3 linked regions of the Schizosaccharomyces pombe genome follow. Changing the gene in region 3 together with the main gene of any one other region gives a genetic interaction. Each region holds a gene or a part of one and is shown on either strand. Other genes may lie near its edges.

Region 1 (5,440 bases), on a different chromosome or scaffold from region 3:
GCTGACTATTAAAAGAAAATTATAAGCTGACCATAAAGTGATGATGGAAGAATCTATTTTATGAATACCAGAGACATAAAAGTTCGGAGTCTAGTTGTCAAATTGAAGGTAAATGAAGTTCATTTAGGCATTACTGTTGGTTTTTACAATTTTTGAGTAAGTAGTTAACTAATTTTAGCATAAATATTGGCATTTATCTTCCGGTTTTCATTTGCATATAACTCGGTTTGAAGCACACGATATGGGCAAAGTTAAAGATATAGATACAGACTTCGAACCTGGTCTCCAATGTTACCAAGTTGGTTCTGACACTTCGGTTCTTCGTTATGGACTCTCGTTTTGGGATCCAAAATGGGATTATCTATTAGCTGATAATCAACATAAACAGCAATGGCAAGCTCCATCTTATAAACCACTGATATCGGAATTTTTCCCTATGGGCATTGAACATTTTATCGAAACGGCACAATCCATTGTTATGGCTGTAAATCGATCTACTATTGATTAATAAAAAAAGGATCACGATATTATTTTTAAAGAAACACATTTAATGTTTTGGTTTAAGTTGTCTATCGAGAGTTAGATGTTATTTGTTTTCATTTTTATTATGAGCAATATACGTTCTGCAAGCTATGAACATAATAAAGTAGTATTCACCTCAAGGAACTATCATTATCATTATTATTATTAATATTACTCCGACTCATGGTGTAGGATATGGGATTCCCAATCGGCAAGTAGCTCAACATCCAGAAAATATAGTACTATTTTGTTATCGTAAGGTCCTAATTGTAAAAAAGAAATAATAGCACAATACTCGTAGTTGTTTAAAGCAGCATCATTAGCAGAAACACAATTGTTATAACGTTACTAGCCACATAGATCAAAACACATATGCGACAGATAATCAAATCTAAGACTTAAAGGTGGGATAATTTAAAGGCATCCATAATTACACTTCTCCAAATGATTTTGGTTTCATAATGACACCAGCATGTACTATGCATCTGGCAATCTTCAAGTACCCGAGCATATAATAATAGAACAAAACAAAAACAAAAGCATTAGGAATTATCGGCGACTCGTTTACAGGACATTACGGTTGCTATTAGTGATAAACTAATACACATATAAAGAGCGCTTGAACAAGTTGGAATATTCACAATTGAAAGAGGTTGAGATAGTGATATGCACAATACACTAAATTACCATTCTTCATCTTTCATGTCATGTTGTATACGTTTTTGCTTGTGAAAAGTATAATCTTCATCAGCGTCATCGCCAAGAGGGATAGAATTCTTCTTGATCCAGTCACGAACAAAAAGACTAGCTTTCATAAACTTTTTGGAGGCATACTTCTTGAAAAAAGCTTCATGTTGAACAGGCTTTTGTAAATAATTAATCATCTTCTTAACAACGGAAATTAATTGGTACTCCTCATAACCTGAGTAATGCACAAGATTACGATTCCACGGTCCACGTCCAAGCATTTCCCTGGCAAGGTACATAGCGGCAGCACACTGTTGGGAAGGGGGATAAGGTAAAAGTTTATGATCTAAAAGACCAATTTCAACAAGATACTTTGCAACAGTTCTTGTTTGAATATCGTAAAAGTCGGCTTTTGAGATACGACGTAGGAAATTCATAGGATTCGGGTAAGCAAGATTAAACTCTAGGACACGCAAAATGTAGCGCTCGGCTTGAAGAATTTCCTCTTCATCATACCCACCATCCGCCATATATACAAAGTTTTGGACTGAAGGGCACATCACCTCCTCATACTTGCTAGCGATGAACAAGGCAGCAATGCCAACCAATTGTAGTTTGTTAAGAGAGCATACCCGCAATGATAAAAATCTATCAATAATATTTACGGCCAAAAACAATGTTTCAGGAAGCAGTCGGAAACGAGAATGCACTTCAATTAACCAATCGGTAAGTATTCCACGCATCTTCCATGCAAGCTCTTTTTGACGATCCATATAAGTAGGAGAGGGCATAGTTTCAATTTCCAACTCATTCAAATATTCAAAAATATCAACGACATATTCAGAAACCATAAGAGGGTCAGCCCAATCTTCTGCATCCAAGTCATCCCAATCTTGAGATTCGGGACTCTCAACACTATCACGGTGAAGTTTGGGAATATCTTTCGAAACAACGCGTTCATCAACATCTTTCTTTAATTTTTTTGGAATAGTTGCTTGATCCTTATGGAAAGCATCAACCCCATGGGTTGAAACAGAGTGTGATTTCGTTGACAAGTGTTGAGGTAACGAGGGGACTGATGAATTAAAAACAGAAGGTTGGCGACGCTTCTTGGAAGCGGGTTCATCATCTGTTGCAGGGATTATAGACTTTTCCTCGAGAGCACGACGGGTACTGACAGAAGCAGTAGTGTGTCTGACATTTGTGTTTTTACTAGCTAATGGAACACCTTCTTTGTTGTGAAAATTGGAAACATCATCCAACGCATGACGCTTCTTAGGAACGTTGGTGGAAGACACAGTGGCTTTCTTGCCATTTACTAAAGAATTTTCTGAAGAGTGCAAAGAGCTTTTTGCACGGGCAATATGGTTTGAAGGATGATTTTCGTCATTGTTGCCCAAGGTATTTGCCAATAGGTGCTGGCGAGTTAAACGACGGGTAGTCATGAGGAAAAGAAGAAACGAATTCTGTCGGGGATTGAAAGAGAGGAAGGGAAATTAAAATATTAATTGGTTCAGGTAACAGAAATGATAAAAAAGAGGTTTTGAACGAACAACCTTTTTAAAGTGTCTAAAAACGTGAAGGGGTAGTACGGGACGGAGAAGATAAAATAGAATGAGTTATACTTGAAAGTTTATACAAAAATTTTAAGGATAAAATCCAAGCAAAAATGTATGTTTCTCGTACGTATAAAGGAGAAAATAATAGCCTTTGACCGAATCTAGAATTTGGCAAGAGCTTTTGAGACTTCTTTTTTTCAATAAAGTAAGGGGATTGCGATGAAGTCCAACAATGGATATAGGAAACGTAGAACACGAAACTGAACTTTGAAATGAAGCTATATGTAGAATCGATGTACGATTTTCCTATATTAACACCAGAACAAGAAAAGAAGGGTAAATGTTGACTTTAAATGACGTTAGTAAATCTAATGAAAAAACAAAATGGCACAATAAAGGATTATCCTATGAAAAAAAGAAACTTTGATAGGAAAATAAAATGGGTAGTTATTTAAATTTAAACCCCCATGTTTTACAGCACCCACCCCTTAATCCCTTCATAAATTTTAAAAAAATAAAAAAATAAAAAGAAATGAAGTTAGACTTAAAGAGGATTTCATGTTTTCGCTGAACTAGGTGAAGTCGAGGAAAAAGGGTGACTATTGATTGGGAAGAAATTTTCACATCTTCAGAAGGTCGTATTGTATGAAAATGTTCTTACACAACCAAAACTGTATTCCCAGCCTTTAACATTACTTACAATCTGATTAAGCTCTTGTTACAAGCAAGAAGACAAGACGAAAGAACAAGCTTTGCTTAACCGACCAGGTTCCGCTTCTTTTCTCGCCTCTAGCTCTAGACAGTGACTAATAGGGGAAAAGTCCTGTTCTTGCTTATATTTCTATGAGCAGGAATGTCGTTTAAGGGTAAAAACTCGTCAAGATGCTGGTTAAGGACAGCTCGTGGTAGTGGAGTCGACTGAAAGGAGTATCGTAGAGGGCGTAAACACTATGGGGTTGTCGGGGTAACGCAACGTTGGCAAGCTGGGAAACAAATACAAACATCAAATAATATGGTAATTTTCAATGTAAACAATAATATAAATATTAAACAAAAACAAACACGAGTTTCGTAAAAATAAGAAAACGGAGATATGGAACCACAATTTAATGTATATGAGCTACCTCACTATTGTAAAAAAGAGGTAATAATGTTATTGTCTATGAAATTATGCTGGGCACATTATATAAAGTAAAGAACGTATATAATCGAAACATGATTGCTTGGGAAATGCAATTAAAAATTAGTTCTTCAAGTTTTCTTTAATAATTACAATATTTAGTGGGTAGCTTACTCGTAAGCAGAATCTGAGCAGGGTAAACAACAAAGTCATCAAAAAAGGGGAGTTAATAATTAAAAAAATTATATGGAACGATTTAATAATGTAAAATAGAAGTCAAATTTTTGAATTTGAGATATGGTCCGTCTTTATTTACATCAGTCAAATGCTTCAAAGAAAAGTGAGAATGCCAGTACACCCACTTTAGTACTATATTATGGAATTTCAAAGGACCCAAATTCATCATATTGAATCATAGGGAAGGAGCAAACGCGCTTGTAATAAAAGAATCTAAATCAGCCTTTGTAAATTTGATATACTACGTAATGAGTAAGCAAAATGAAAAACGATAACAACTTAAATGTATATACACATCGATAAACTAGCAAATGAATATCGACAAATCCTCAATACACATACCTTGTCTTTATTTTTTGTAAAATCACTGTTGATGTATCTAAACAGAGGTTAGCTATAGTGGAACTAACAGTTTTTAATTGATCTTCATACTTATCATAGAACCTTTGATATAAAGGTAGTACAGTTTTCTTAACTTCTTGCAATAGAAAAGTGGCAACACCAGTTTCAAACCTAACAGATTCACGATGCACTTGAACAACAGATGTAACTTGTTCGTTGAAGTTTCGGAATTTTTCCTTTGTAATCTCTCGTTCTTTAGCAGACATAGTGGATTTGTTTTGAGATTTTGTATAGGTAGAATCGAGCATATTTTGAGAACACTGTCGCCAAACTTCCATATACATGGTTGAGTACTTTTGTGATCGATCTCCTAGCTTTTCTAAATCAACGTCTTGTAAAAATGATGCAATTTTTGACTCAAGACATTTTGCTTCAAAATAGACGCTGATGTTTAAAAGCATTACGCCCATTTTCCATCCAATCGTATCCACTGCCTGGGCAGCTGTTTGAACAGAAGTTAGGTAGGAATCCATACAATCCATAACATAGTTCCTCGTAATGTCTTGAACTGAGCGCGCAGGACTGAGATCAGCATTAATTTCGTGTCTCCAGCCCCAATTACCAATACTTTCAAGCAAATAAGAGGCATTTTCATGCTCAGCAAGTTCATTCAAGAAACTCATAATACCATGAGTCATTTCACTGACTCTATCAGTTGTGAGAGGGACTGTTTTGTTGTTATGGCAAGTGCCATTATACAGCCTCGATATAGAAGAAATCAATATCTTTTCCATTTCACGACCAACACCATTCACAAAACCAAGGAAAGAAGCATCTTCAAAAGGCATAAGATTATTCATGTTTTGGCGTGTAACAACGATACAATCAATTAAAGACAACAAAACAAAATTTTCTGCAGCACCTCTTTTTTCATAAACTCCCTCAAGCTGTCTGGTGGCATTGGTGACAGTGT
Region 2 (4,588 bases), on a different chromosome or scaffold from region 3:
AACAGGGAACTGCAGTTGCACCTTCTCTAAGGAAAATACACCTCTTTGCTCCTTTTCGGGATTATCAGCTGTGTATTCCAATTCCGCATCTTCTTGAATATCTGAATCTTCAGAAGAATTAGGATCAATCCAATCCTCGGCCAGACTCATTGTTCAATGGGATTGCACGCGTATCAATAGAAAATGAGATGAATTATTATAATTCCGCTGCCAATATAAATTAATTTACCAATATTTAAAAAAATAATTAATAGTAATTAATTGTTTCCTATTTCGCTAGTTACAGTCGCTACAGATACACACCCTCTATTTTTGGCACATGGATAATGGAGAGTGAGTCATGATGCTAGACTTGCGAAACTAGCATATGAATGAACGAAGTTGCTTAATGGAATAAGTTAATCAAATTGATAGATATTACTAGTTTTTTATTAAAAAAAGCATACATATTTATATGTAAATAAATAAATAAATATATATATATATATATATATATGTATATAGGATTGACTATTCTTTCAATAACTATTGATGCCAAAAAATATATTATGTACCAAAATAACAAAAACATTACGTTAATCATATAAAAGATGATCTAGAATTAAAGATGAATGGTCAAAATGTCGGAAACCGAAAAAGGTGTTTCACACTGCGGACATGTACTTGTTTTATGCTCATAAAAAGGTTCCATACAATTAGAACAAAAGGCATGACCACAGTTTGGAATGAGTTTAGATTTCCAATTAGAAAAGTTGCACACGGAGCATTTTAACATTCCTTTGTATACTTGAGCCTCTTGTGTTTCATATGCCTGGTTTATAAGATGAGACTCTTTCTTATTATACGAAGCTTTTATGGATAAAATAGTATGCTCTTCTTGCAAATGAAACAACTTCTGATGCATGATCATAAGCTTTTCCCCAGATTTTTGAACAGACTCTATAAGATCTTCAAGTTTTTGAGTAAGTTTTGTTTGCTTAACTTGTAAGTGCTTATCTTCTGTTAAAACTTCGACCGAGTGTTTCCCGTAGATTTCCTTTATTTGTTTATAAACTTCCAATTCAGCTTTTAAAGAGGATTCATATTTTGTTAGCGCATGTTCTCGCTCTTGCAACTTCCCTATATAATCATGTTCTTTATTTTCGGCCAGTTTAAGAGTTTTCTTCTCTGTCATAAGAATGTCCCGAGCTTTCATGGCAGCAAAATATTTTTGGGTGGCACGAGCCTTTTCATAATGCATTTCCAAAGCTTTTTTCTCCTTCGTTTCAAGTTCTTCATATTTCTTCAACAAACGAGATTGTGATTGATCAAATGCTGCATACATACTTGGGAGTTCAGCCTCCAAACAACTATTATTTTTTATTAGTTTTTCCAAAGCTGAAGACGCAGAAATTTCTTCTTTTTCATCTAGGACATTATTCATCTCACCAGTCTTAGACCTTTCAATACGATCCCATATGCACAATCGATTTGAATAACCTTCTAGAATTGCAACCCGAGCGTTTGACAAGTTGCTTAATAAAAGCATCATATCGTCAAAAAATAGATTGTTAGTATATTGCATTTGTTGTTTCGCCACTAGAGAGTCTCGTTCGTTACGAATTTGGGTTAAAGATGATTCAAGGGTTTTAATAAGTTGTTGTTTCTCTTTTACACATGCCAATTTTAAATCAATAATATCCTTCTGTCGTTTCGTCCGTTGAGAAATAAAAAACTGAATGTCCTCAAACAATGAAGAGAGGTCCCGATTAATGGATTCGATTTTCTCTTCATTTGAAGAAAGAACCCCCTTCAGCTCTAAATAATGGGGCTCTCTACTCACTCTTTCATCCGTTATACCCATAATGTCGACGTACAATTGTGCTGCACGAGTTGATTTTTGAGAAAGTTCATCCAATTTGGAATTTATATTTGCTTGCATCAAATCAGCTTGAGATTGAAAATTGTTTTTTAGTTTTGAAATATTATCATTATCATTTAAACATCCTTCCCCATTTTCGAGAATTGCTTTTGGTTCCGAAGCAGGGATATCATCAGCGATATTTTCAATACTTCTTTCGGAAGCACTAGTAAGCTGATCTTGCTGCACCCGTTTCCATTCTAATTCAGCTGAATTCAAAGCTTCACGAAAGAAGGAAAGTTTCCTTTTTAGGAGTGCCAACTTAAGTTGGCTAGTACGGTAATTAATCATACTTGTAAAATGAACCTGGCGTTGGTCTATCCATTCATGGACGTTTGGAGTTTCTTTTAATTTAAAAGAACCAAATTTAGCTAACTTTTGTAGAGTAGGTTCATGGGCTTGAAAATAGGAAGCATACTTATTCAAATAGTTTTGCGCATCTTTGATTAAACTGAACTCAGCAAGTGACAAATCTAGTGTCTGTAAATTATCATCAGGTTGATATAAAGAAGCAGTGATTTTCTCTAGTTCTTCAAATGATTGTTCATGATTTTCCAGAGCAGCAGCAACGTAATGATCAAGTTTCAAAACTAGAGATTCCCAATACTCGTATAATTTCTTTTCCAAAACAGTGAGATGCTCATACTCTCTAGATCTTCGCCAAGCTGCTTCCTTTTGAAATAACTCTAAGTCATCTTCTTCTCCGAGGTCTAAACGACGCGTTTCTTTTTCGCTGTGAATAAGACGTCTTCTTTTCCTCGATTCATTCACAACGCTCATTCCACTTCAAAAAAATTCCTTTTCTATTTTATAATTAAAATAAAGTACTTAGGATCAAAATATGTGCTCATTAACATTCACTAAGCCAATTCCTACGGTTAATGAGTTTTTTCAGGTTATCTGTACATGGTAGTCATGTCTCGTTAGTGAGTCAAATAGATTCCTCGCTATAATAATATGTTTCTTTACCTTAGTTATGCCTGTCTTTAAAGTCGCCTACGAAGTAGTAATTTGTATAATATAATTAATATTGGCAATGACAAAATAAACATTAGCTAACGACAATGGCTTCTTCAATTCCTTCGGTGGTTATCTAAATTGCTGAATTTATTCTACTATTCATATTAGTGTAAAGTATTTTCTTGCTTTATCTGTAAACTATAGCTTACATTTCCAGCGTTTTATAATAACTAAGTTTGTTCGAGGCTGACCCTGATTATTTCTACCTTTAGTTAATTTTATATCTTACTCAATCATTGCGACTATAAAACTTTTTACACATATATATTAATCTATTCAGACGGGCTTGCTTGGTTTCGTTGTACAGTTATACCCAGGATATAACCTCTTTATTAAAATATTACTGGTTCATGGACAACAGGCAAATGTTTGTACAAACATATGCGCACTGCCACATAATTTTTGAAATTCATGCAATTGAGTCGAAGTTACAGTCTAAACAGACTCAATGAGCTCGCAAATATTAACCTCACCTACAAGTACGTTTTTTTAAGTAGTAGGGCTTTCCACTAATGTTTTACCAGAAAAATCAATGTCAAGGTTTGCCCCTAAATTTACAGCCCGTAGAGAGAAAGTATCGGACCAAAAAGAGGTTGTTCATGAAGAAAAAAATCAACCCCTCACAGGAAACGAAGTAGAAACATCCGCTCAGCTGTCTCGTGATACTGCCAATGCTGATATTTCTAGTCCGGTTGTGCAAACAGTAGTTCACAAAGAGGCAACTGAAAATCCCACAGCTTCATCCTATAGAAAAGATGATTCAGTGAAACAAAATGAAAAACTTTTGCATTCAAATCCTACTTTTAAAATTTCTAAGCCAACGGTTCTTGAGCAGCCGTTAAATGCTATTGAGCATTTGTCGCCTGAAACCGATTTATCCTCTTCAGCCGAACAGCAATTTATGAAGGAATTAGATTTGTTTTTTGATGAGAACATTCCCCTTTCTCAGCTCAGTGCTGTTAGTGACGGAAAGGCGGATTCTCCGGCTACAAAAAAGTCTCGCCGTTCATATAGAGGTACGTAAATAAAGGGTTAATCTAAAATGCATTATTTAATAACATCATAGAATCTTCTTTGAAAAGAAAAAGTCAATTGATATTGGAAAACGTGGGTACCGACGAGAAAATCATTAACATAAGTGAAACCAAAATGTCTGCTTTATGTGATGATCCTGGAATTGGCCGCAAAAGTCAACGATTTATCGAATTAGAAAAAATGCTTTTTGAGGAAAAACGAGCAAAGAGGATTAAAAAACAAGGAGCAAGTACTGCAAGCTCTAGTCGAGAAGCGTCTTTAGATTCTACCATCAAACAGCCTTTGAGTGCCAGTCTTCTAGAATCAAGCGAACCGAAAGAGAAAGAAGAAATAGTAGGAAGTTTGGAAGAAGAGGGTACGGATGAGTCTGCTTCTCTCGAAGATAGTCTCTCTCACCCAACAAAGTCTATTCTTGATCAGTTAGCAGATAAAATGGAAGTTGATGGTTTGAATAACAACTCCAATTACTCTGCAACTCCTCGTACGCGAGTTGTTAATGGCCAAATTGTTCTGGATGAAACCTCACTAGAAGTCGACCGTCATGAACGTGATTTTGTACCAGCAGAGGAACGCGAATACGTTGAAGAAAATTCTTTAAGTCGTCGGGTTACAAGTGCTACTTGGGGAAATAGG
Region 3 (3,841 bases):
TGCAAAAAATGCGTGAGAGGATAGAGTATGAGGAAAGTAATTATACTCGCCTTCCTAAATTATCGAAGAAAGATTTAAAGAAATCTAAACGTGTAAAGAAACACGATTATGGTGGTGAAGACTGGTCATTGCTTGATCGCAAATTCCATGACGATGACTTTTCAAATCGTAAATTAGACCTGACTTCTAGAGCTAAGAGACGTGCTAATTTTGAAGACGTTAACGATGGCTCATTAGCTTCACCTGTTCAAATTGGCCAGTCATATCGTAAAAGAAAGAAGAATTTGAAACGTCGTTAATCATTATTTTGGGAACAGCCGTTGAGGTTTACTTAAAAAAATTGACCATATGTATTTAAAAAAATGGAGTTTTTGCGCTTGGTTTGGTATTTTTGTGTGGTTTAGGGCAGGTTATGTTTAATAAGATCAATATAAATTTTGCATGTACATGTCTGTATATGTGATTAGTCGCACATTAATATAGTTTACAAGTTCTAAACATAAGGAAGAAATCATTCATTCGTAGATGTAAACAAAAAAATCTTAATGATTTACTATAGTTACAATTTTGGCAACTTTGAAGCACTTAAATAGATTTAATGTGAAAGGCGGTTGAAAAAGAAGAGTAAGTTCTAATGAAATAGGGATTATTAAGACAGCTATGTCTTGAAATCAACTTTCCCAGGAGTCTTCTACAGTTTTTCGTACTCGACGCACATACTCCTTCTTGTTTTCACGATGCAGCTGAGCAGCTTCGGCATTTGCAGGGGACGCATTATTTGGATCATTAAGTAAGCTAAAAGTTAGTTATGAGAAATTTAAGTAATATTTCTGAAAAGCAAACCTTTGAATAGAGGTAAGAATTGCTGCCACATCGTAAGTTGGAGACCACCTGTTTTGCAGAATGTCCAAGCAAAGTTCGCCATTTGCGTACACATTTGGATGGAACTAAAGCCAATAAGTAAGTAAACAAAAAAAACCAAGAAAAAAGTAAATTACAACAAATCAAATAATCTAATTTAAGACTTGTCTAAATACAATGACTAAGCATACCATTGTGGAGACGAATTTTACAAGAGGAGGTTTATTAGGATATTGTTCATCAAAAGAAAGAACCAACTTAAAAGTTCCATCTTCAAATGGAGTGTCTGCTGGGCCAATGATAACAGCATTCCTGCTCAAATGGTTAGTCCAACATCAATAATAAAAAACAAAAGCAATCAATCCAGAAACCAACAAGCATAAAAAGATCGCTTCTTGTAAGAATTTTGAAACGATCTCCTTCCTAAATATATGGCAAAAAAGGCATTCAATATATAGCACATATATTCACCATTACGTTGCATAACAATAAGAGAAAAATGAATTGACATAGGTAAACACTTACCAAAGCATTACATTGTCAGAGACAGGGGAAGCTGAAACTCCAGCAGGAGGATCTTGCTGCATCCTCTAAGAATTGGTTAATATAAGTCTTCTCGGATCCACAACTGCCGTACCTTAAAATCTCGCATGAGACGTCTTCTTGCGGTCGTTGACATTTTTATAGCAACCTCTCTTCTATTTGTGATAACTTTAAAAAAAAGTTGCACAAATATCGATATCGCCTTGGAATTACACCGAGTTAGGATATCCGATTTGCGTTGTTGGAGAAGGGCAGGGAACAATAGTAGGACCATTCACTCATATGCAGTATTTCATTATTAATGGGGCGCACCCAACACGTTAAAATAATAAAGTGCACGCTCAGTTACCTTATAACTAGACCAACCTTTTAGTAATGTTCAGCATTTGCAATGCAAGTCTGCTTTAGTATTAATGAACTACTACTTCATTTAAATTATAGTTAAAGATAAGGAAAGTTGATATTTTTCATTCAACCATTAATCATAATCAAGGTCCGTGCATTTGTTAACGGTAAACTGTTGAACATGTGAAAATTATATATATTTACTTTAAGCCTTTGTTCTCATTGGGTTTAAAAAAGCAACTAAAATACATTAGGAAGAAAAAATGAAAGAGCAACAGGATGTAAGAAATAAATTTACATTTTCACTAGCTTAACAATGAGAAAACACAAACAGCCAATTTTTTACGCGTCTGCTACGTGATTGAAATGGTAGTTAGAAATGTATCTGAACTCTTCACCATTAGATATTTACATTGTGCATAAATTTAATTATCCAGAAAAAAATCAGCTTAATACTCTTATTAATTCACTGACTTAAAAATTACTAAGTTTTGTTTGGAGTATTTAAAAATTGCTGCACAAGTTAATCGACAAAGTAAATATAAAAATTCAACTTACCGGTAAATATGTTGACACAAGAGCCGCGATACCCATACTGATCAAATGTTAACATCCATAGAACTACATTAATGCAATGAATTAGGATTACTTACAAAGCCATTGAAGTCGGAGATGAGCTGGGAGACGTATTTGCGTTCAGTAAATTTGAAAAGGTTAGGATAAAAGCAACCCATGCAATTAATCTTCTCGTTAACATGAAAATCCTAAAATATCTTACATACTTGAAACGAAGAAATAAAGCAGCCATACACGTGGCTGTGCTTACCAAACTCAAGCCAACTATAATAGGGTTAGCAAACTTAATAAATTATTTGACGAAAGAAAGGATTTAAAATATTCCACAATGAACTAAAGCTTGAGCGATTAAATCAGCGTAACTCACGATTGGGTTCAATTTGAAAGTGCTTTCTACTTTACCTTCTTCATTTGCTTTGACTCTAGCTTTGTAGGGAACGATTAAATCAGGTCGTTTAAGTTCTGCAGGCGCCATATTTTATGAATTTTCGTTGTCGAGACTTCAGAACTGGTGAATGGGATGGTTCCTCTACAAGAATATAATGAAGTTAGTAATAAAATGTGTAAAATGGTTTTAGGTTAGGTTATTTAGCATTCAAATATATCGTGGGGGTTAAGAGTTCTTATCCCACTAAGAATTTCAACTATTTTAGACTTGGCTAAGCATTAGAATTAAAATCGATTGCAGTACCACGTGGGGGCTTTAGCAAGTCATAGGAGGAAACTGATCCTACTTGGCGAGTGAGAAATGGATTTCTTTTAGCATTCTAAGTCTTCTATATAACAATTTAAAGCTCAAACATAATATAATATTATTTATACTATTTTAAAAATTTAGGAACCAAGCCAGGTGAACTTAAGAAGTTCAAAGAGCATTTAATCGTTAGATGAAATAATAAAAAAAAAAATTACACTCGTTCACTCGTTTTCAATTTTACGAATAGGTTTGGCAGGTGATCCTACAGCCAACGTATTAGGTGGGATGTCTTTTGTAACAACAGCACCCGCTCCAATTACACTGCCTTCCCCGATAGTAACACCTGGGAGAACTATAACTCCCATACCAATCCAAACATTGTCCTGAATCTTGATAAAATTTTGTTTGTTAGTTGTAAGATGTTTCAATAACTGGACTAACGCATACGTTAATTGGTAAACCAAATTCAATTCCGGAGTTCCTTGCTTTAAAATCCAAGGGATGTGTTGCTGTACATAGTTGAACCTGGAAAGACACCATTAGTATATTTATTTTTTGAATGAATGACTTGAAAGTAACTATATATATATATAAACATACATTGGGGCCTAGCATTACATTATTACCAATAGTAATTATGGCAACATCTAGAAATGTACAATTATAATTTGCAAAGAATTTTTTTCCAAAATGAACGTTAAATCCGTAATCAAAAGCCATAGGTGGCTCAATCTCTGGTGCTGAAGATTCGTCAAATACAAAAACTTCAGCCAACAGTTCAGCTCGTCTTTTAATCAATTCTGCTGGGCCTACATTTTC

What was found. Genes that interact genetically often act in the same process or in processes that back each other up.
Region 1: mutations in rhp6 (region 3) and cdc13 are lethal when combined (synthetic lethality), as found in Schizosaccharomyces pombe (one study listed by BioGRID).
Region 2: of rhp6 (region 3) and brl1, changing one suppresses a phenotype caused by changing the other (phenotypic suppression), as found in Schizosaccharomyces pombe (one study listed by BioGRID).

What each region holds. Positions count from the first base shown.
Region 1 is NC_003423.3:418,337-423,776, reverse strand, and holds cdc13 (G2/M B-type cyclin Cdc13), read right to left. Parts: upstream 3,667-5,440; 5' UTR 3,469-3,666; exon of another isoform or gene 3,342-3,468; intron 3,116-3,341; 5' UTR 2,655-3,115; coding exon 1,206-2,654; 3' UTR 509-1,205; downstream 1-508. Other genes in the region: protein dsh1, read left to right, coding at 39-108, 179-508; exocyst complex subunit Exo70, read right to left, coding at 4,301-4,366, 4,468-4,504, 4,558-5,440.
Region 2 is NC_003421.2:2,238,067-2,242,654, reverse strand, and holds brl1 (histone H2B-K119 ubiquitin ligase complex (HULC) subunit, ubiquitin-protein ligase E3 Brl1), read right to left. Parts: upstream 2,809-4,588; 5' UTR 2,681-2,808; coding exon 602-2,680; 3' UTR 501-601; downstream 1-500. Other genes in the region: pep3 (ubiquitin-protein ligase E3), read right to left, coding at 1-150; transcription factor TFIIIB complex subunit Bdp1, read left to right, coding at 3,369-3,399, 3,445-3,936, 3,987-4,588. UniProt on the Schizosaccharomyces pombe protein: E3 ubiquitin-protein ligase which belongs to the histone H2B ubiquitin ligase complex (HULC) which mediates monoubiquitination of histone H2B to form H2BK123ub1.
Region 3 is NC_003424.3:303,422-307,262, reverse strand, and holds rhp6 (ubiquitin-conjugating enzyme E2 2), read right to left. Parts: upstream 1,658-3,841; 5' UTR 1,541-1,657; coding exon 1,499-1,540; exon of another isoform or gene 1,452-1,498; coding exon 1,387-1,451; exon of another isoform or gene 1,207-1,386; intron 1,174-1,206; coding exon 1,053-1,173; intron 948-1,052; coding exon 844-947; intron 796-843; coding exon 672-795; 3' UTR 501-671; downstream 1-500. Other genes in the region: U3 snoRNP-associated protein Lcp5, read left to right, coding at 1-299; protein pat10, read right to left, coding at 2,234-2,263, 2,308-2,344, 2,403-2,492, 2,532-2,589, 2,728-2,800; SPOM_SPAC18B11.09C (serine O-acetyltransferase activity), read right to left, coding at 3,244-3,411, 3,470-3,547, 3,623-3,841.